Struthio camelus: one gene and its partner. The protein of the gene in region 1 interacts with the protein of each later gene in a pairwise test. Links are inferred from orthologs where the notes say so. Each region holds a gene or a part of one and is shown on either strand. Other genes may lie near its edges.

Evidence for each region.
Region 2: the proteins of TNFAIP1 (region 1) and EXOSC5 interact in binary tests that used the Homo sapiens proteins (3 or more experiments, as listed by UniProt). The two-hybrid records come from large-scale screens. The link is inferred for Struthio camelus from reciprocal best matches to the Homo sapiens genes TNFAIP1 and EXOSC5.

What each region holds. Positions count from the first base shown.
Region 1 is NC_090957.1:21,431,203-21,442,489, forward strand, and holds the start of TNFAIP1 (BTB/POZ domain-containing adapter for CUL3-mediated RhoA degradation protein 2), read left to right. Parts: upstream 1-6,288; coding exon 6,289-6,676; exon of another isoform or gene 6,677-8,858; coding exon 8,859-9,028; exon of another isoform or gene 9,029-9,151; intron 9,152-10,908; coding exon 10,909-10,998; intron 10,999-11,107; coding exon 11,108-11,160; intron 11,161-11,287. Other genes in the region: IFT20 (intraflagellar transport protein 20 homolog), read right to left, coding at 940-1,021, 1,552-1,655, 2,506-2,591, 3,008-3,134. UniProt on the Homo sapiens protein: Substrate-specific adapter of a BCR (BTB-CUL3-RBX1) E3 ubiquitin-protein ligase complex involved in regulation of cytoskeleton structure.
Region 2 is NC_090957.1:708,380-719,233, forward strand, and holds EXOSC5 (exosome complex component RRP46), read right to left. Parts: upstream 4,818-10,854; 5' UTR 4,761-4,817; coding exon 4,625-4,760; intron 4,324-4,624; coding exon 4,210-4,323; intron 3,662-4,209; coding exon 3,540-3,661; intron 2,320-3,539; coding exon 2,179-2,319; intron 2,092-2,178; coding exon 1,999-2,091; intron 1,305-1,998; coding exon 1,212-1,304; 3' UTR 1,099-1,211; downstream 1-1,098. Other genes in the region: BCKDHA (2-oxoisovalerate dehydrogenase subunit alpha, mitochondrial), read left to right, coding at 5,376-5,486, 6,254-6,433, 6,999-7,085, 7,160-7,268, 7,344-7,505, 7,598-7,804, 7,873-8,014, 8,111-8,282 and 1 more. UniProt on the Homo sapiens protein: Non-catalytic component of the RNA exosome complex which has 3'->5' exoribonuclease activity and participates in a multitude of cellular RNA processing and degradation events.

The DNA of each region.
Region 1 (11,287 bases):
ATCGGTGTGTAATTTAAAACTTCTACAGTCTTTGAAAGGCCAACATTTCCATATTTGGTTGCCCAAAGACAGGCATAAAATGCATCCATTGGCACTTCACCATAAGGCTTGATTTTTAATATCAAATGTGAAGTCCTTTCAGCATTGTAAAATATGGGCATTTTATTTTTAAATGTCACATTCATATTTATAGTTTATATATACACCCCTTGTTTTACAGTACCCTTGGAACAGTTTGTCTCATCAATTTGAAGTTAATGTTCAGAAAAATATTCTACTCTAATATTACTAGCTGTATGGACGTTGCACCTCAGATGTAATTTAATCTGAATTCTATGTTTTCTACTTTTTTCATTTGTAATTAATCAACTGTTGCTCAATTTTCCTTGTTTTCTTTTTAAATGGATAGAAAAGGAAAATCTGATCAATACAGATAAAATTACTGCTGCTTCTCTCTGTTGTGTGTTGTCTTTATAAACATGAAAATATTATACGTAGGAAATTCTCCATTATGATTATGCAGAGTTGTAAACTCTTAAGAGCAGAAATAAACTTAGCAGAAGCAGTAATTCTGAGATTCCCCAGAAGGTCTGAAAACAATAATTTATTTCCTGATTTATTTAAAAGAGTTGCACACTTCAAAAAGTGAGAAACATAACATAGCAACAGTAGCGTTAATTCAATTGTAATCTGAATTTGAACTACTGACTGTACAAACATTTTATAAAACTACAGGACAGAACTGTCTTTATTTACATCTGTTAGAAAGCTTTCCTTATTGCCACTTTTAGTGTAAATTCAAATTGTATTAAAAAACATTTTCATTTGTACAAGCCATCTGTTAATTCATATACAATGAAAAATTGCATATTTTTGAAAGCCTCAGGATCCTGGAATGGTCAAGTTCCCAGGTCAGTATGCTGTTTATCTTAAAATCCTTTATTTTTGAAAAATGAATTGGTCAATGAATTCATGCTGGTCAGCTTCTATTTTACATAGTGTCTCATACTCTATTCGGTATCTGAAAGAGAAAAAATGGTTACAAGCTACATTCAGCTCCTGTTATTTAGATGATTTAGTTCTATCTTCATGGGTCTGTTGTGAAGGAAATCTAGGCTAAGCGCATAAGTAATTTTTAAAGCAGTGGCTACATCAGTTAGACACTGCAGTTCTGAAGTACCTACAAAAATCCAAACAGCACTGTATTACAGTTTTATTAAGTTTCTTAGCTGCATGATCTCGTGCCCCCTCTATTTAGCCACAAAAACATTAGAAATGAGGCTTCCTGCAAGAGTGGTAGACAGGGCCTTAAGTTAAGCATAGAATTATGCTGCTGCATTATTCATACATGCCTTGTATGGGAGGATACACCTTAGCTGCAGGTGGACTGTTTGAACAAGCTTAGAGACTTTCCTCCTTCAGGCAAGCACAGATGATAAGACTGAGTATACAGTCTACATAATTGAGCTGAGTTTGTCATGTATGATATACTACTTTCATTTCAAAATATTAAATCAATGCCCAAAAAACTATATTTAATATAAAACTTACCTTTCCAACTGCATCTTTTTCTCAGCTATTAAAGCCTGAAGTTGCTGTTCCTGAGCTTCTCTTTGCTTAGCTATAGACTTCAGCAAATTTCGTGCACCAATGGCCTGTCAAAACAGGATTTGCAGTGACGTAGTTGTATCAGGAGCTTTTTTTTTTTTTTTAAAACCACTTTTGTTACTATTAGATTGATTTTGAAGTGTTTCAGCCGTGCTAACAATAGAAGAGGATATCATGTTGATACTGAATGTTTAGTGGAACAGGCAGACAGCCCTGTAGCAGTTGTGCAGATTAAGGCATTTGAGGCTTCCTTCAAACTTCAAGTGTTCATAACACGCTGACAGGAAAGCCACTGACTCTTCTGGAAATACAATCTGATCATTGGTGACTAGTACTACAGATAGACAAGCTCTGGTTATAATTTTTTCCCCAGAACAAATGATGAAAAAGCAACTACCTACAATTTTGCTAGTTGTTCATTTTTATTTTCGCAATAATAGGGGGGAAAAAAGTCTTAGTGACGCATAGAAATACGCCAAGAAAGTTTCAGAGGTAGTTACAGAGATATATATTGATTTGGTCTTTGGACAGCCCTTTCTTCCTCCTCGTGGATCCTCTCATGAACTAAGTTCAAATGGTAGAAATATTGATCAGAAAACATTTTCTGTTTACATGCAATATACTGATAAGCTGCAACAGTAGCACTATTAAATGCAGGAGTAATGTCACACTCCAGGTGTGCTTATAAAATTTTTCCAGTTGTTAATGTCAGTTTTTTGTAGCCCCTATGCTTTCATACCAGACAGGCAGGGAGATGTTAACTACCATGGAAAATATCTGCATGATGCTGACAGAAAATTATTGTTTATACTGTAAAAGTAGGAAGGAAGGGAGCTGGTTTTTCATGCATTGTACAGGGCAGGGTATGTTACAAGCCAGTAATTAATTGCGCAGTACCTTCATCTTCTCACTTTCAGCAGCTTTTGCTAGTTGATCAACAAGTTCAATTAAGCTACCCACTATTTTTTGAAATTCTACTACTTCTGCAAAGAAAAAAAAAAAGTCAAGTAATATCCATCAAAATAACACCAAATAAGACTAATATGTGTACTATAGGCTTTGAATTTCAGCCGTGACTTCTTAGTCCTTTCAGTTTACTGTAAATAGGTGCACTTTAAGATTTTCCTTCACAACAGGTAGGATATAAAAGGGGAACAAAAAAGAGAGAAGCCCATAAACGTTAACGGGATTCATCACCGTCCTTTACGCCACGGAGTCCGCTTCCTTAATTTTTTCGTCACTTCAAGGCATTTTTCCGATCCGTCTATTCAAGGAATGGTTATTCGAAGCTGCGGAGCCCCCGCACGGCCCCGCTAAGCGACACCTGCTAACAAACCGCTCCCGAGGGGCCGCGCGGGCTCTCGGGCGCGGCGCGGCGCCCCGGCGGAGCGGCACTTACTGTCCACGAAGGCGCCGCACTCCTCGCGGAGCTGCGCCGTCTGCTCGGCCACGCCGGGCTCCAGCACGCGAAGCTTGTTCAGCTCGTCGAAATGCAGCCCGGCTTGCCCCAGGGCGTCGCGGGCCATGCCGCCCCCGCTGCCGCTCCCAGGCGCGCTCCGCAGCAAGCCGGCACCGCAGCGAGCGCCTTCCCCGCCGGCGGCCCGTCCCGTCCCTCCCGCCGCCCCCGTCACCTGGCAGCGCCCCTCCGCACCGCGGCTGCCACGGCGACAGGGGGGACGGTACTGCAGTCGCGGGGCCCTACCCGGCACGCCGGGAGCTGTAGTCCCAGCCTCCCGCCGAGCCCGCGGCACGTCGGGAGCTGTAGTCCCGGCGGCGGGGAGCGTTTCCGGGTTGCCGGCGCGCGGAGGAAATGAGCTCAGCCGAGGGGCCGCGGGGGGGTGAGCGCTCGAGGCGGCGGGTCCGCGGGGGAGGGCACGGCGGAGCCGGGAGGCGCGGGGGGCGGCGGCGGCGGCGGCCGGAGGCCTGGCGCGGCGGGGCTGAGCCTGCGGGCGCGGGAGCGCGGCGCTGCCGGCCGAGCGGGGCTGAGGAAGAGTGCGGTCAGGTATCGTCCCAGCATCCCGGTGGGCGGTGAGAGACGGCTAGGGGAGAACTCCTGCTCACATGAGTATTTAGCTTCTAGGGTGACCTTGTTATTTGCCTTGCCAGATGTAAAACTGAGACCCCGAGAGGAAACATTCTGCCGCTGTGGTGCTGTCGCCCTTGCTGACCAAGGAATAGAGGCCAGGTGCGTGGACTCGAGTAATTCAGCACCCGGAAACTTTGTCTCTGGAAACGTTGCCCTCCATCTGTATGTGAAACTTCGGGGCACGCAGGAAACCTCCTTTTTCTCCGCTGTTCTGACACTGACGTGCTCATGCCACCTTCCTTTCTGACTCCACTAAACCTTCTCTATCCATAACCTTTCTTGTGCTGCTCAGCTCTGTGCAGACTTCAGCAAGGATCGGGGTCATGCTTCTGTCCCATCATGATGGGCTTGGCAGAGCCTGGGAGTGTCCAAAACTACTAAGACCATTTTGTCTAGTCCAGAAATTAGACAGAAAGTGTGCCACTTTAGAAGTGATTCTGTTCAAGTTTTTTTTTTCTCCTCTTGAGCTGTTAACGTTATTTCTTTTTATGGAAGTCCTCAACTGGGACCATTTCCTGATAGGGTGTCTGAACTGCCGTGTTATTGTTCTGCAGTTCTCCATCTGCTTCCCACAAAAGGCAGGAAGGAAAGGACGTAGAAAATTTTCTCTTGCGTTAATGGGTGTAATTAAAGGTCAAATTACTGTTTGCAGCAAAAGCCTCCTAGCTTGCTAGTTAATAAACATGTTACAGTAATAGTATTTGCTCCTACTTGGATAGGCTGGATAGAGAATTTTGCTATCCATTAGAAAGACATTAAAGAGCTCTGTTTGGGTCTGGAGTTATTTCTTTTGTTGCATGATCAATCTGGCTATCTTTAAAAACATGCTTTTGTTTTAAAGAGAGATCGCTATGGGCTAAAACAAGACAGGACATCTGTAACAAATTTGTAGAAATAGAGGTATAACTTAGGTCTACCAAAGGTCTTAACTGAAACAATAAGTATAGTTGCTTCTAGTCTTGATTTACTTATTTGTAAAAGATTATAGTAAACACCTATGTCTAGTAAGGAGGAATTGTGTTATGTGCAATGTGTTTGGAGAAGTTCTGGTCAATTTCTCCATAGCTTTTAGCTCTTCTGGGTAATAAACTTCTTATAGCACCATAATCGCATGCACAGTTTTTGTTTGTTGCTGGCTGCTTACCAGTTTGAAATTACTTTTCTAGCCTAGTTCATTTGTAACATGCAGTTGCCTTTGACTTATATTTGTCAATGGACGACTTGTCTAAAATGATGTGCTCAGAAAAAAAAATTGGCTTGTTCAGATGTAGAAGTAAATTTACTATTGTGTTCTAGGATGATTAGTTGAAAGTAAAGAGTGTTGACAGCTAGTGGGAGTTCCAGCATTTATAGACAAACTGATCTCTCTTGGCACTAAAATTGTTAACATTGGTTTGTGTCTTTGTGACCTGCAAAGTTTTTGTATTGTTTGTTGTTTAATAGATCTTTTTTGTAGTGCTTCCTTAATTAGAATAACATTATGTTAGATATCGTTCTAAGTTCAGTAGCTATTCAAATCTCTGGCAATTTTAAGATACCATCTGTAGCTGCTAAGTAATTTGCTGCACCAGATGGATGGAGAGATGTGGGTTTTTTCCATGCTGAAAGCTGAGGTGGGGTGAGAAGGAAGAGGGATGTGGGAAGAATAGCAATACAGTTAACAGGTTATTATATTTATTTATAAAAGGTCACTCATGTACCACGGGCACAGAACAGAGAAGCGAACAGACGCTTGTAGTCTGAAATAGATAAACAGACAAAAGCATAGTGAGAGGGGAAAAGCCAGCAAAATGTTTCTGAGGCCAACAGTTATTAAAAGAAGGCTAGCTGAGAAACCCGTACTTGTACTTTTCCAGTTAAAGAACCTGAGATCTGGCCTGTTAAACTGAGTTTTGTTCTCCTTTTGTTTGTTTGTTTGTTTCCATTCTAAGCTTCTCTTGGATGGAAAGATAAGTATAGTGAGACTGGGGAGAGGAAGGAAGTTGTGAATGTCTTAGCTGGCTTTTCCGTGAGGCAAATATTCCAAAGACTGGACGTATTTTTTAAATAGAAAAATTAGTATTATATTGACTGCTTGGCATTCCAGGACAGAGGAAAAAGAGTTTTGAATGAAGGATGTACCAGGAAATAGAGCATTATGGCCCAGCATTTTAGTGTCGAGGCACTTGAAAGAGAGGCAGCTGAAACCTCTGTAAATGTCTCCAGTTAAAAAAAAAATTCATATAAACCCCAGCTGGAGACATTGCAGAAAGCTCTTCCATTGTGTTTTAGATTTGCACAAGAAAAAGTTACATTATTTTGGGAAGTTGGGAGGGAGCCAAATTCTAACTATTATTTAAACTTGTACAGGATTGGATGGTGATTGTTATATTGACTGAGGACTAAACAAAAGGAAGTCCAGAAAAGTTTTACTTGCCTCGCTAACAGTAATGCAGCCATAACTTAACAGTATGGTGCTGAACAATCATTATATTGCTGTGTAAGTTGTTTGAAAAACACTTACGTCTTGTTTTGTCAGAATTTGTGCAGATGTGTCCTTAAGAATCTACTGAATACATTTCTTCTTTAATGTGGGTTTCCTGTTTTTGTTTTAAATGGTAATTCCAGGCTTCTGTATTGATCTTTATACGTTTCTGTTTCAAGGGTCCAGTGGGTTACGACTGTTTTTGCCTTGCACTCCTCATCTCGTGACTTGTGACTCTTCACCAATCACGGCGGAATCCATCAAGCCCACGCTCTGCAGGGTTGTCATCTATCTACAGAAGGAGATGTCAGGGGACACATGTCTAACCACCCTTTGTCCAGCTGCAGGATCCAAGCCCAAAACTAGCAACTTCAAAGGGGGCAACCTTGGTAACAAATATGTGCGACTAAATGTTGGGGGTTCCTTATATTATACTACGGTTCAAGTACTGACCAGGCATGACACAATGTTGAAGGCTATGTTCAGTGGCAGAATGGAAGTGCTCACAGACAAGGAAGGTAAGGGGAATGTCTTTTGATGTGGAGAATTTTGTAAAACAATAGTTTTTGTAGACTATGCTGAGTGAAGGGTATAAGGAAAAACGTATTCGGAAAGTAATTTGGAACATTAGGCACCCAGCTCCCATTGGCTCTAGCAAGCCTCCGTGCCTTATGAAAATGTGCTCTTTTGTTACTAAAATTAACTAGAGGAGGGACTAGTTCTCTTTGCTACAATCCCAGCTGGTACACAGATTGCTGACGTTATCAAGACTGAACATACGGCACATGGGTTGTCATTTATTGGGTGATATATAGTGGTGTCAATCAAAACTGGGGGTGGGGGGACATTCAGTTTTCATCTTTCAAACTCAACAGCCTTGCTTGCTATGTTGAGGATTCTGGGTTTTTTTCCCCTCCTAATAGTATGTTCCACTTGTTGCTGACAATACATATCCATGTTGTGACAGTATTTAGTCACCAGTCAAGTATTATGTCGCCTCATGCTGGACATTGATTCCTGGCATTATAAAAATAAAAATCCATAATAAATTATAGAGAACAGAACAAGTAAGAAGACTGATGTCAGCAATGCCTATGAATGCTTCTGTTTTCCTCTCTTTACTATCCCATAGCAAAATGATACCTTAGGAATGAGGCTTGTAGCACTGTGGAGAAGAGATTGAGAGAGGATGGCAAGTATTTAACCTCTTGGTGTTTCAGAATATTCATCTGTGAAAGCTCTTCCACATGCTGAGACTGCATCAATTTAAACTTGATGCATAACAGTGTTTTTACTTAAACTGACACAACTTCTTTGTGTGCATATCACTTAAACCAAATTCCTCTTGAGTACGCTGGTTTGTATATGACTAAATCAGTTTAGCCCAGCAATTTTGTGTAAGAGCCTTAGCCTGAAGAGAGGACAGGGTTAGTGTTCTGACAGCCACAGCTGGAGAATCTAGTAGTGGTTTAGTCTACTTTTCTTATAATGTCCTCTGCACCTGGGTCCCCAAATACCATTTTTTTCCTGCCTTCCACATTATGGAAGAGAGTTTGTCACTGTACTAAGTCCTCTGCTTGCGTGTGTCCTGCATTGCTATTGTTTGCCAGCAAGTCAGACATCCTGTTTCCTAGTCAATGTGCCCTCAGGGATGTTTTAGAATCAGAAAAACGTTCATCTACTACTCCTTCCTGTGCTGCTTCCACTTTCCACTCTCTCCTGATCTGTCTGTGTTCTTTACTCGTATTCGGAGACCGGAACAGTGTTTTTCCCACACTGTGTTTTCTGGGCTATTCTATGTTTTGGCATCCCTGGAATACTTTTCTTTTTGTTAACTCTGAACAACAGTAGAAGATGGTTGGGAGGCTGACAAATTTTTCTAGGTAGGCCACAGAACTTAGCCCCAATTCACTTGTTGCAAATATTTGCAAATTCCTTCTTATACTTTTCCCTTAGCTTTCTTAGTAATAGATTTCTAAGTTTCAAGTGCCCAGCATTACACTGCAGCAGCACTTGATACATTTATTCCCATACAAACACAGCAAAACCCTATTTTGCTGGGAATATGGCAAGCCTCTAAATGAAACAAGCAGCTTGCCTAACAATAAGCTTTTTTTTAAGGTTTGAATTGCTCGGTCAGTCAGTCAAATAGAACTCTAAAAATGCAAACTGGTGATTTCTTATAGTAGTTAAGAAGATCCATTCCTAATAAATAAAGGATCAAACACAGAAAATGATTTTAGTCAGGCAGCACATGGACTGATCAGTAGATACAGTGCAGCCAGGTTCCTGCAGGGATTTTAATGTCTCTTGAGAGAAAGCTGGGTATTTTTAGTTTTTTTTTCTAACTGTGTTTTTCTTTTGGGGTGCTGAAAAGTAGATTTCCAAAGAATAGAAAAGAAGCAGAAAAGAGTAGAGAAGTCTTCCAAAAGTACATTTCCAAAGAGGAAAGTAGATCGCCAGAAGAGCAATTCCCCTGTCATTTTCTGTTCTGTAACCAACTTCAATTTGCTCAAAGTCAGTAAAGACTTTCACTGAATGAAATGGGAAACAGATCATACGCAGTTTCAGGGAAGTTTCAGTAGGCTTCTTATCAGCTTATGAAACTTGAATGCAGTTTCCATGTTTAACCTCTCTGAAAAGCTGTTGTTTGCCTCCCACTGTTGAGGTGATTGAAATGTTGTGATGGTTACTTTTCAGGCTGGATCCTTATAGACCGTTGTGGGAAGCACTTTGGAACAATTTTAAACTATCTCCGAGATGACACAATTGCGCTTCCAAAACACAGACAGGAGATCAAAGAGTTGATGGCAGAAGCCAAATATTATCTTATTCAGGGCTTAGTAGACATGTGCCAAGCAGCCCTGCAGGTAAGAAATAGAAGTAGCCTGTAGTTATTGGCAGGCGTTTTGCTTATAAATATGACTTAGGATGACTTCAAAGAGTGTTTCATGGTCTTAGATGTACATCAAGTCTTAGGCGCACAAGGTAGCCTGGAAAGAAAATGAGACAGCAGTGAGATAAGTTGTTAAGATCTTATCAAGTACATTTATCAAAGCCGTGGTTTTCCTTGCTGTATGTGGACACTCGAGATTCTGTGATGCTTTGTGTAAGAGAGATTTAGTTTATGCTCTCACAGGAAATGTTCTCAGACCTATTCAATATTGTGGAACAGCCTTTCAGGGCAAAGGGGCCTGTGTTCTCAAGGGGTCTAGTGTAATTACTGATGTGGTTGCATTATCAAGGCAGCTATTTCTTTGTAAGAAGAGAGAAAGATGGTCCAGAAGTTAAATTATATTAATCTAGAACATGAAAGGCTCAGGTTCAAGTTCCTTTCATTTCAGAGATGTCTTGTATGATGATGGGTAAATCATTTTCCTTTGAGCTACCATTCTCTTGCCCAGCTGCCTGCTGCAGAATGGGGATAACAGGACTTTTTCTACTTCACAAGAATGCCAGAAGATGAATAAAGAAGAGATTATGTTCAGAACCAGTCGTATAAATAGAGGGACTGTTTCTTTTATATTTGTATATTTTTTTAATTTAGGAAATAGTGAATTTTGAGTTCCTTTTATGTGAAAAGAAATGAAAAACTGAAATTTAAAGGAAATTCGTTGAATAAACATGATTATTTTGAACACAGATGTTTTAAAAGACCTCATAGCATTTGCCTAAAATTCCGCCAAATTATATCACTTCTATTGGATAATAATAGATAAGCGGATAATGTTGATAAGCAGAATGGGTTGCAAACTTTGAAAATATGGTAATTTTTTTCCACGTTTGACTCTTAATGTAGAAAGAGGAAGGTCTACATGGTGAGCACTGATTACTTTAAGGATTTTTATTTGTATCATCTTACTAGCTCTGTTTGTAAATATATAAGCCCATAAGTAGCTTTATTCACTGCACTACTCCGTATGTGTTCAGGTTCAGCTGACTGAAATCACTTTGTTTGGCTGACTTTCTTACAAGGTTAGCCCAGATATGTATTATTTATATATATATAAAACTTATTATTAATCTTAAGATTGTGAAAAGAATGTTTCTGAAGGGATAAAACTTAGTAATTAACAAATACCTCACATTCAACATACTTCTTGTAGCCACTGAAAGAAGTGCAAAGCTACACTGACAATTTTTCTGCTGGTTTTGAATTTAAAACCTTTCTTCTAAAAACAAAATGTTCCAAGGCTTTCCCATTAGCTATTGAGCTTTCCTTAATTTGCTACATGAGGAATCTGGAGTCACAGACTGTACTTCAAGCTATTGTTGGTTGCTTTTGTACCACAAGGGGAAGAAGTCCATTTCAGTGACATACTGTTCTTCTTGCCAAATGTTCAGTTCATAGTGGCTGATCTTATATTCTGCAGTGTTTTGAGTTATTTAAAACTTGTGCAAACTCTTACTATCCTTTTCTCCAAAAAAGGCTGGAATAATAAACCCACTTAAACCAAGCATGACTTGAGCTCAGAGTCTTTGCTATAGCTAAGAAGGACATCCCCTTGCATCCCAATATTTCAATTATTGCTGCCTTCTGGGAATAAGAAGCCTCTCTGCTGTATTTCTGGGTTAGAGATCAAGGTAATGCTGTGTAGTTACTATAGCAACGTAGGGCTCTTCCTTTGCATCACAGGGTTTGGGAACATGGCGGGAGGTTTTGGAGAAGAGAGCAGCAGCAGATGTTAGTTTCATCATTTATATCCCTTGGGTTTTTTTATTTCCTCTCCCTCTTATTTCTTTAAAACAGGACAAGAAAGACTTGTATGAACCTGTCTGTAACATCCCTATCATCACATCTCCAAAAGAAGAAGAGAGACTCATAGAATCATCAATGAAAGTAACTGCTTTTCTAGAACTATCTAGTGAGAAACTGAATTTCTGCTTAATGTATTCAAACACAGAACTTACCTTTTCTGTTTTTTTTTCCCCCTCTCCTCTCCCAATAGCCTGTTGTTAAGCTGCTTTATAATAGAAGCAACAACAAATACTCTTACACCAGGTATGTCAATTTTCTCTGCACCGTAATGGAAAAATTACCCTTTGACTACGGGAGGGGAGGAAAATGTAACATGGTCTACCTTCCTGTAGCTTGCAACTGCGCTGTTCTATGGATTTGAGTGCAGTTT
Region 2 (10,854 bases), about 21 Mb from region 1:
GGCTTGACGTGGGTCCACATGGCTCGACATGGCCTGACACAGCTTGACATGGGTCAACATGGCTCGACATGGCCTGACACGGCTTGACATGGGTCAACACGGTTCAGCATAGCCTCACGCGGCTTGACATGGGTCAACATGGCTCAGCATAGACTGACACGGCTTGACGTGGGTCAACATGGCTCGACATGGCCTGACACGGCTTGACATGGGTCAACACTGTTCAGCATAGCCTCACGCGGCTTGACATGGGTCAACATGGCTCAGCATAGACTGACACGGCTTGACGTGGGTCCACATGGCTCGACATGGCCTGACACAGCTTGACATGGGTCAACATGGCTCGACATGGCCTGACACAGCTTGACATGGGTCAACATGGCTCGACATGGCCTGACGCAGCTTGACATGGGTCAACATGGCTCGACATGGCCTGACATGGCTTGACATGGGTCAACATGGCTCAACATGGCCTGATATGGCCTGATGCAGCTCGACATGGGTCAACGTGGCCCAATATGGCTTGACATGGCTCAGCATAGCCTGACACGGCTTGACACGGGTCAGCATGGCCTGATACGGCCTGACGCAACTCAACATGGGTCAACGTGGCCCGACATGGCCCCTGACCCTGCCCAAGCGCACCCACATGTCCCTGCAGGCACAGACACGCGTGTCTCCAAGCGTGTCCCCACACGTGCCCCGCACACCCCCCATAGCCACGTGTCCCCACACGTGTCCTGCGTGCAGGGTCCCACTGTCCCCTGCCCAGGCTCCTGAAATGGGGCACCCCACATACCCGGAACCCCCTCAGCCCCCCACATTGGGGGCACCCCACGCCCAGAGCCCCCCCCACATTGGGAGCACCCCACACCCGGGCTCCCCCACCTTCCCCTCCCGGGAGGTGACACGAGCTCGCCCGGCCTCAGCCGAGGACCCCAACGCACCCGCTCTGCCTGGGGAGGGGGGCACAGCTGGGGGCCAAGGTGGCAGCAATTAGGCCCCTAATTACCCCCTGGTAATTACCCCGGGTGGGGGGGGGGGCTGCACGCAGGGCTGGAGGGGGGACGGGGCTCGGCCCCCCCAGGGCGGCGGCAGTGAGAGGCGGCAGCAGGTCGGGGCGGCCTGTTTAATGCCCCCGACGGCGGAGGGGGGTGCGGGGGGGAGTCCGGATGGGTGCGGGGGGGTCGGGGGCCCCGGCGTCCGGCGCGTCACCACTTGGAGTACTTGCGGCGCAGGCAGTCGCGGTAGAACTGGAAGATGGCGGCGGCGGCGCGCTGGGCGGCGGCGAGGCTCTGCTGCAGCTGCGGAGGGGGCGCGGGGCGTGGGGGGCCGCCCCACGGCGGGGGGGGGGGCACGGGGGGGCCACCTCACCCATGGGGGGGGCTGCCCCATGGTGGCGGGGGGCACAGGGGGGCCACCCCATGGTGGGGGGGGCACGGGGGGGCCACCTCACCCGCAGGGGGGGAACAGGACATGGGGGGGGGGCTTCCCCACGGCGGGGGGGGGTGGAACATGGGGGCTGCCCCATGGTGGGAGGGGGGGACAGGGGCCACCCGACGGGGGGGGGGTTCCTCATGGGGGGGGGGGCAGGACACAGGGGGCCGCCCCATGGCGGGAGGGGGAACGGGACGGGGGGGGGGCTGCCCCACGGCATGGGGGGGGGGAACATGACGCAGATGGCCGCCCAATGGTGGTGGGGGGGAACGGGACATGGTGGGGGGCTGCCCCATGGCATGGGGGGGGGAACGGGACATGGGGGGGGCTGCCCCACAGCATTGGGGGGGGCTGCCCCACAGCATGGGGGGGGGACACGGGGGGGGGGCCGCCCCCCGGGGCAGGACGGGGGTCACAACCCCCAGTGCGTGTGTGTTTTGGGGGGGGGGGGGAACCGACAGGCCGGGAACCCGCAGGAAACCCCTCGCTGCCCGGAGCGACCCAAACCCGCGGCGATTCGCCCCGAAAGCCGGGACGGGGGGGGGGGGGGGGGGCGCTGACCTCCTGGGGGGAGCAGGCGCCCTTGGTGGTGGCGGCGGCCAGGAGGCGGCCGTCGGGGCTGGCGATGGCGAAGGTGAGCACGGCGCGGGCCTCCTGCGGGGCGAGGGGCAGCGGGGCTGAGCCGGGGGGGGGGACCGCGGCCCCCCGGGGTGGGGGGGGACGGGGGGGGGACCCGCTCACCCGCTCCTGGCGCGCCGTGGGGTCGAGGACGAGGCGGCCGTCGGGCCGCAGGGCGCAGGCGACGCCGCAGAAGAGCGAGGCCAGCGGCAGCCCCGCGTCCAGCAGCCCCAGGCAGGCGGCGTTCAGGCAGCAGGCCAGCAGCTGCGCCCCGCGTCAAGGCGCCCCCGGCCCCCTCCGGCCCCCGCGCGCCCCCCGAAACCCCCCCCAAGCCCCCAATTCCCCCTAACCCCCCCAAACCCACATCCAGCCTCTCAAACCCCCCGAAATCCCCTCAAACCCCCCGAAATCCCCAAGCCCCCAATTCCCCCTAACCCCCCCAAACCCACATCCAGCCCCTCAAACCCCCCAAAATCCTCCCCAAGCCCCCAATTCCCCCTAACCCCCCCAAACCCACATCCAGCCCCTCAAACCCCCCGAAATCCCCCCCAAGCCCCCAATTCCCCCTAACGCCCCCCAAACCCCCATCCAGCCCCTCAAACCCCCCGAAACCCCCCCCAAGCCCCCAATTCCCCCTAACGCCCCCCAAACCCCCATCCAGCCCCTCAAACCCCCCGAAATCCCAACCCCTAAATCCCCCTAACGTCCCCCAAACCCCCCAAAGTCCCCCCAAACCCCCAATTCCCCCTAACGCCCCCCCAAACCCACATCCAGCCCCTCAAACCCCCCAAAATCCCAACCCCCCCAAATCCCCCTAAAGACCCCCAAACCCCCCGAAATCCCCCCAAGCCCCCAATTCCCCCTAGCGTTCCCCAAACGCCCCTCTATCCCCCAAACCCTCTAAATCCCTCCCCCAAAACCCCCATTCTCCCCCCAAAACCCCCAATCCCCCCAACCCCTCTCAATCCCCCCATTCTCTCCTAAACCCCCTCGAACCTCCCACTCTCCCCCCCAACCCAATTCCCTCCCCAAAATCCCCAAATCCCCCAACAATGCCCCAAACCCCCCTCTATCCCCCCACCTCCCCACTCCCTTCCTGACGTGCCCAACGCCAACAACCCCCCAAACCCAATCGATGCCCCCAACCACCCCAATTCGCTCTCCGAAACCTGCCTGCTCCTCCAAAACCCTGCCAGCTTCCCCCGAACCTCCACTTAACCCCCCAAACCACCCCAATTCCCTCCCCAAGCCCCCAGCTCCCCCCCAAACCCCATCAGCTCCCCCCCAACCCCCCTGACTGCCCCCCAAACCCTAATTCATCCCCCAAACCCCGATTCTCTCCCCCCAAGCCCCCCAGCTCTCCTCTAAACCCACCCGCTTCCTGCCAAGCCCCCGTCCATCCCCCCAAACCCTGGTTCCCTCCCCAAAACAGCCCGCCCCCCCCAGCCCCCCCCCAGCCCCCCGGCGGGGGCGGAAGCGGATACGGATCCGGCGTCGCTGAGCACCTGCAGCACCAGGGTGACGGCGGAGCGAGGGTGCAGGGCGCCCAGCAGCACCGCCTGGCACGTGCGCCGCAGCAGCTGCTCCCGGCTCCGCTCCGCCACCCCTGCGGCCCCACGGGGGTCACGGCCGCCCCACGGCCGCCCCACGGCCCCCACGGCCGCCCCCCGTGCCCCCCCGGCCCGGCACGTGCGCCGCAGCAGCTGCTCCCGGCTCCGCTCTGCCACCCCTGCGGCGCCACGGGGGTCACGGCCGCCCCACGCCCCCCCCGGCTGCCCCACGCCCCCCCCGGCTGCCCCACGGACGCCCCCCGTGCCCCCCCGGCCCGGCACGTGCGCCGCAGCAGCTACTCCCGGCTCCGCTCCGCCACCCCTGCGGCGCCACGGGGGTCACGGCCGCCCCACGCCCCCCCCGGCCGCCCCACGGCCGCCCCCCGTGCCCCCCCGGCCTGGCACGTGCGCCGCAGCAGCTGCTCCCGGCTCCGCTCCGCCACCCCTGCGGCGCCACGGGGGTCACGGCCGCCCCACGGCTGCCCCACGGCCCCCCCGGCCGCCCCCCGTGCCCCCCCGGCCCGGCACGTGCGCCGCAGCAGCTGCTCCCGGCTCCGCTCCGCCACCCCACGGCCCCCACCCCCCCCGCACCCCCGGCACCCACCGGGCAGCCCCACCTTGGGGCGCAGCAGCACCTCCAGCACCGCCTGGTCCGGCAGCTCTTTGCTGCCCTTCGCCTCGCCGGGGCCGTAGAGCCCGGCCAGCACCGAGGTGTCGCCTGCGGGCGTGGGGTGGGGGGTCGGCGACCACGCGTGGGCCCAGGCGTCCGGGGGGGGGGGAGATCTCGGGGGGGGGGCAGGGTGTCCAGGGACAGGGGATCCCATGGGAAGAGGGGCCCAGGCGTCCGAGGGGGGATCCCGGGGAAGAGGGGCCCAGGCGTCCGGGGGGGGGGGATCTCGGGGGGAGGGGATCTCGGGGAAGAAGGGCCCAGGCGTCCGGGGGGGGAGGGGAAGGACCCAGGCGGCCCCCGCGGACGGTGAGGGGGAACCGGGGGCGGCGCGGGGGGGGGGGTCGCGCACCCTGGACGAAGGCGGCCGAGCCGTCGGGCCGCGAGAGCAGCCCCTGCTCGCAGGAGAAGGGCCGCAGGCAGCACTCGCCGCCGCCGCCATCCTCCTCCTCCTCCACTGCCACCGCTGCTGCTGCCTCCGCCGCCATGCTGCCGCCGCTCCCGCTTCCGCTTCCGGCGGAAACGCCCGCCCTCTGGCACGTGACCGCCCCCCCCAGTGCCCCGGTGCCCCCTTTCCCCGGTCCCCCCAGCCGCCCCGGTGCGCCGCCTCCTGCGGTCCCCCCGGCCCCCCGCGCCCCTCCCCGGCGTTCCGCCCCCCCAGTGCCCCGGTGCCCCCTTTCCCCGGTCCCCCCAGCCGCCCCGGTGCGCCGCCCCCCGCGGTCCCCCCGGCCCCCCGCGCCCCTCCCCGGCGTTCCGCCCCCCCCCAGTGCCCCGGTGCCCCCTTTCCCCGGTCCCACTAGCCGCCCCGGTGCGCCGCCCCCCGCGGTCCCCCCGGCCCCCCGCGCCCCTCCCCGGCGTTCCACGCCCCCCCCAGTGCCCCGGTGCCCCCTTTCCCCGGTCCCCCCAGCCGCCCCGGTGCGCCGCCCCCCGCGGTCCCCCCGGCCCCCCGCGCCCCTCCCCGGCGTTCCGTCCCCCCCAGTGCCCCGGTGCCCCCTTTCCCCGGTCCCCCCAGCCGCCCCGGTGCGCCGCCCCCCGCGGTCCCCCCGGCCCCCGCGCCCCTTCCCGGCGTTCCCCCCGGCCCGCCCCGCCCCGCCCCGCACAAGATGGCGGCGGCGGCGCTGCGGGCGCTGCGCGGGCGGCTCCTGCGGGCCCGGGCGGCTCCGCTCTCGGCTCCGCTCTCGGCTCCGGCTCCGGCCCGCGGCCTCGGCACCGCCGTGAGTGGGGCGGGCGCGGGGGGCGCCGCGCCGAGGTCCCCCCACCGCCGCCGCCGGCCGGGCCCGGCTCCCCACGTCCCCACGTCCCCGTGTCCCCGTGTCCCCACGTCCCGTCCCCACGTCCCCGTGTCCCCGTGTCCCCGTGTCCCCATGTCCCCGTGTCCCCACGTCCCCGTGTCCCCACGTCCCGTCCCCACGTCCCCGTGTCCCCATGTCCCCATGTCCCCGTGTCCCCGTGTCCCCACGTCCCCGTGTCCCCGTGTCCCTGGCTCCCCACGTCCCCGTGTCCCCACGTCCCCACGTCCCCGTGTCCCCACGTCCCGTCCCCCCGTGTCCCCACTTCCCGTCCCCACGTCCCCGTGTCCCCACGTCCCCGGCTCCCCACGTCCCCGGCTCCCCACGTCCCTGTGTCCCCACGTCCCGTCCCCACGTCCCGTCCCCACGTCCCCGTGTCCCCACGTCCCCGTGTCACCGGGGTGAACAGGAGGGTTCGGCAGGGGGGTTTCGGCGGGGGGGGACGGGGACGACGGGACGTTTCGGCGGGGGGGACGGGGACGACGGGACGTTTCGGCGGGGGGGGGACGGGGACGACGGGACGTTTCGGCGGGGGGGGACGGGGACGACGGGACGTTTCGGCGGGGGGAGACGGGGACGACGGGACGTTTCGGCGGGGGGGGACGGGGACGACGGGACGTTTCGGCAGGGGGGGGACGGGGACGACGGGACGTTTCGGCGGGGGGGACGGGGACGACGGGACGTTTCGGCAGGGGGGGCGGCAGCAGGAGCCCTCTCTGCCCTCGCTGGCGGAGAAGCCGCAGTTCCCCGGCGCCTCGGCCGACTTCGCCGAGCGGCTCCGCTTCATCCAGCCCAACGCGCTGTCGGGCATCCCCGTCTACCGCGTCATGGACCGCCAGGGCCACGTCGTCAACCCCCGCGAGGACCCCCAGGTGGGCCCCGGCCCCCCGGCCCCACGGCCCCCAGCCCCACGGCCCCCGGCCCCCCGGCCCCCCAGCCCCACGGCCCCCGGCCCCCGCGCTGTCGGGCATCCCCGTCTACCGCGTCATGGACCGCCAGGGCCACGTCGTCAACCCCCGCGAGGACCCCCAGGTGGGCCCCGGCCCCCCGGCCCCCCGGCCCCACGGCCCCCGGCCCCCCGGCAGCCCCTGTCCCCACGTTGCGTTTCCCATCCCCATGGCGGCTCCTGCCCTTGCAGCATGTCCCTCGTCCCCACGGCAGCAGCCCCCCGTCCCCACGGCAGCCCCTGTCCCCACATCACGTCCCCCAACCCCACGGCGTGCCCTGTCCTCGCAGGGCAGCCCCTGCCCCACAGCAGCCCCTGTCCCCACGTGGCGGCCCCCATCCCCACGGCGGCCCCTGTCCCTGCGGCGCGTCCCCTGTCCCCGTGAGCGTCCCCGGTCCCCACAGTGTCCCCCAAACCCACGACGACACCGTCCCCGTGGTGCCCCCACCCCCGTGACGCCCCGTCCCCGGGCGGCGCTGCCCCCCCCGCAGCTGCCCCAGGAGCTGGTGCTGAAGCTCTACAAGACCATGACGCTCCTCAACACCATGGACCGCATCCTGTACGAGTCGCAGCGGCAGGTGAGCCGGGGGCCGGCGCGGGGCCCGGCCGGGGGACGCGCCGCCTGCCCGCGCCCACCCCCGCCGCCCCCCAGGGCCGCATCTCCTTCTACATGACCAACTACGGCGAGGAGGGGACGCACGTGGGCAGCGCGGCGGCCCTGGCCGACACCGACCTGGTCTTCGGGCAGTACCGCGAGGCGGGTAAGGGCGAGCCGGGCCGGCGGCGGCGGCGGCGGTGGCGGCGTCCCCCCCGCGCTCACCGCCGCCCCGCGCCAGGCGTGCTCATGTACCGCGGCTACCCGCTGGACCTCTTCATGGCGCAGTGCTACGGCAACGCCAGCGACCCCGGCAAAGGGCGCCAGATGCCGGTGCACTACGGCTGCCGCGAGCGCCACTTCGTCACCATCTCCTCCCCGCTGGCCACCCAGATCCCGCAAGGTGACGCCGGGCTGGGGTGGGGTTGGGGGGGTGGACACGCGCCGGCGCTGCCCCCGGGGGCTGACGCCGCGTCCCGACCCCGCTCCCGGCAGCCGTGGGCGCCGCCTACGCCATCAAGCGGGACAACGCCAACCAGGCGGTCATCTGCTACTTCGGCGAGGGGGCCGCCAGCGAGGGGGACGCCCACGCCGGCTTCAACTTCGCCGCCACCCTCGAGTGCCCCATCATCTTCTTCTGCCGCAACAACGGCTACGCCATCTCCACCCCCACCTCCGAGCAGTACCGGGGCGACGGCATCGGTAAGAGCCGCCGCGCGCGGGCGACGGCAGCGGCCGTGGTGGCCGTCCCTGACCGCGGCCCCCCGCAGCGGCCCGCGGCCCCGGCTACGGCCTCATGTCCATCCGCGTGGACGGCAACGACGTCTTCGCCGTCTACAACGCCACCAAGGAGGCGCGGCGCCGCGCCGTGGCCGAGAACCAGCCCTTCCTCATCGAGGCCATGACCTACAGGTGCGGGGCCGGGGGGCGGCGGCGGCGGCGGCGGGGGGACACGCGCGGTGGCGGCGGCGCCACGCGGCTCCCGCGCGTCCCCTCCCCGCTGGGCAGGATCGGCCACCACAGCACCAGCGACGACAGCTCCGCCTACCGCTCGGTGGACGAGGTGAACTACTGGGACAAGCAGGACCACCCCATCTCCCGCCTGCGCCACTACATGCTGGGCCGGGGCTGGTGGGACGAGGAGCAGGAGAAGAGCTGGAGGAAGAGCTCCCGCAGGAAGGTGAGCGGGGCCGGGGCGGCCTCTGCCTCTCCTCGTCCTTCTCCTTGTTCCCTTTCTCCTCGCTCTTCTCTTCCTCGTCTTCCTTTTCATCCTGCTCCTTGCGCTCCCTTTCTCCTGCTCCTCGCCCTTGTTCTGCTCGTCTTTGTCCTCTTCCTCCTTGCGCTCGTTCTCTCGTTCTTCCTCGTTGCCCTTGTTGTTGTTCTCCTTCCCAACCTTCTCCCCTTCCTTCTCCTAATTTTTTGTTCTTGTCTTCATCCTCGCTTGCCTTCTTGTTATCTTTCTCCTGCTCGTCCTCTTCATCCTCATGTTCCTTACGCTCTTTCTCCTCTTCCTCATTGTCCTCCTTGTCCTGCTCCTCCCCGTCCTCACTCTCGTCCTCGTCTTTCTTCTCCTCATCCTGCTCCTTCTCCTCCTCGTTCTCCTTGTTCTCCTCCTCTACCTCCTGCTCCTCCCTGTCCTCGCTCTCATCCTCATCTTTCTTCTCCTGCTCCTTCTCCTCCTCGTTCTCCTTGTTCTCCTCCTCTACCTCCTGCTCCTCCCTGTCCTCGCTCTCATCCTCATCTTTCTTCTCCTGCTCCTTCTCCTCCTCGTTCTCCTTGTTCTCCTCCTCTACCTCCTCCTCCTCCCTGTCCTCACTCTCATCCTCATCTTTCTTCTCCTCCTTTTCCTCGTCCTCCTCCTCCTCACTCTCCTCCTCTACCTCCTCCTCCTCCTCGTCCTGCTCCTCCTCGTCCTCATTCTCATCCTTCTCCTTCACTTGCTCGTTCTCGTCGTCCTGCTCCTTGTCACCCTACTGCTTGTTCTCCTGCTCTTCGTTCTGCTCCTCTACCTCCTCCTCCTCCTCGTCCTGCTCCTCCTCGTCCTCATTCTCATCCTTCTTCTCCTTCACTTGCTCGTTCTCGTCGTCCTGCTCCTTGTCACCCTACTGCTTGTTCTCCTGCTCTTCGTTCTGCTCCTCTACCTCCTCCCGCTCCGCGTCCTTCCCGGCTCACCCGGCTGCTCCCCCCGCAGGTGATGGAGGCCTTCGAGGAGGCGGAGCGCAAGCTGAAGCCCAACCCGCAGCTGCTCTTCTCCGACGTGTACCGCGAGATGCCGCCGCACCTGCAGAAGCAGCAGGCGGCCCTGGCGCGGCACCTGCAGCAGTACGGCGAGCACTACCCCCTCGAGCACTTCGAGCAGTGACGCCGCCCGCCCTCCCCAATAAACCCGCTGCCGCCTCGGGGCCGTGTGCGTTGGTGCGACGGTAAGCGAGAGTCCGGGCGCCGCGCGCGCGGCCGGGAGCGCCCCCGTTCGATGCGCCGCCCGGGCCGGCGCAGCAGCCGCCAGAGCGCGCGGTCTGCGGCGGGCAGCGCCGGTGCATCGGCAGCAGCCCGGCGCGGGCGCAGGGGTCGCCCGGCCGCCACGTCCAGCGTGCGGAAGCCGGCGTGGGGCCGCGCCGGGACGCCCAGCGCGTGGAAGCGGAGCCCGGCGAAGACGTCGTCGGTGGGGAAGAGCGCCAGGCGGGCGGCCAGGTCGTGCGAGGGCCCCGCCAGCCGCCCGGAGAGGAGGTAGCCGCCGCCGCCGCCGCCGCAGCCCGGGTAGGGACCGGCGTAGAAAGGGGCCGGGATGTAATACTTGCCGGCGGGCGCCCGGAAGGGCCGCGCGTCGGCCATCGCCCGCCCGGCGTAGAGGACGCGGGCCGGCGGCGGCGAGCCCAGCTAGGCCAGGACGCGCGGCGTGTTGACGAAGGCGGCGGCGTCGCCCTTGAGCACGAAGCGGGCGCCGGGGCAGCGGCGCCGCAGCCAGCCGAGGAAGAGGAAGTCCTTCAGCGCCAGGTTGAAGAAGGCGTCCTCGAAGCCCCACTGCAGCAGGTCGCCGAAGAGCCGGCTCCCGGCCGCCGGGCCCAGCAGGAAGACGGCCCGCACGCCGGCCCGCCGCCGGGCCCGGGTCTGCCGCGCCGCCGAGTTCCCCGGCGCCGACTCGACGGCCAGCAGCAGGAAGGGGCCGTTGGGCCGCAGGCGCCCGGCTGGTCCAGCAGCAGCGGGTAGCGCCGGCAGCCGCCGCGCAGCACGAAGCGCCGGAGCGCCTCGGGGTAGGCGCCGAAGTCGGGGAAGGCGGCGGCCGGCGCGCTCTCGCCGCAGCCGCCCGCCCCCGCTGCAGCCCCTTCCAGTAAGCCGGGGCGGGCGGTTCGGGGCCCCCCGAGCGCCCCCCGGCTCCCGCTCGCTCCAGCTCACGTAGGCGTGGAGGCAGAGCAGCGCCGCCGGGGCCAAGGCCACCGGCAGGCGCTTGGGGCCGCGCGTGCTCCGGGGGGGACGGCGAGCCTGGGGCGGGGGCGACGGGGACGTCAGGGACCCCGGCTCGGCCGGTCCCCGGACGCACGAGGTGCCCTGGGGACGCGCGACCCCGGCTCGGCTGGTCCGCGGACGCGCGAGGCGCCCCGGGGACGCGTGACCCCCCCTGGGGACGCGCGACCCCGGCTCGGCCGGTCCCCGGACGCGCGACCCCCCCCTGGGGACGCGCGACCCCGGCTCGGCCGGTCCCCGGACGCGCGACCCCCCCTGGGGACGCGCGACCCCGGCTCGGCCGGTCCCCG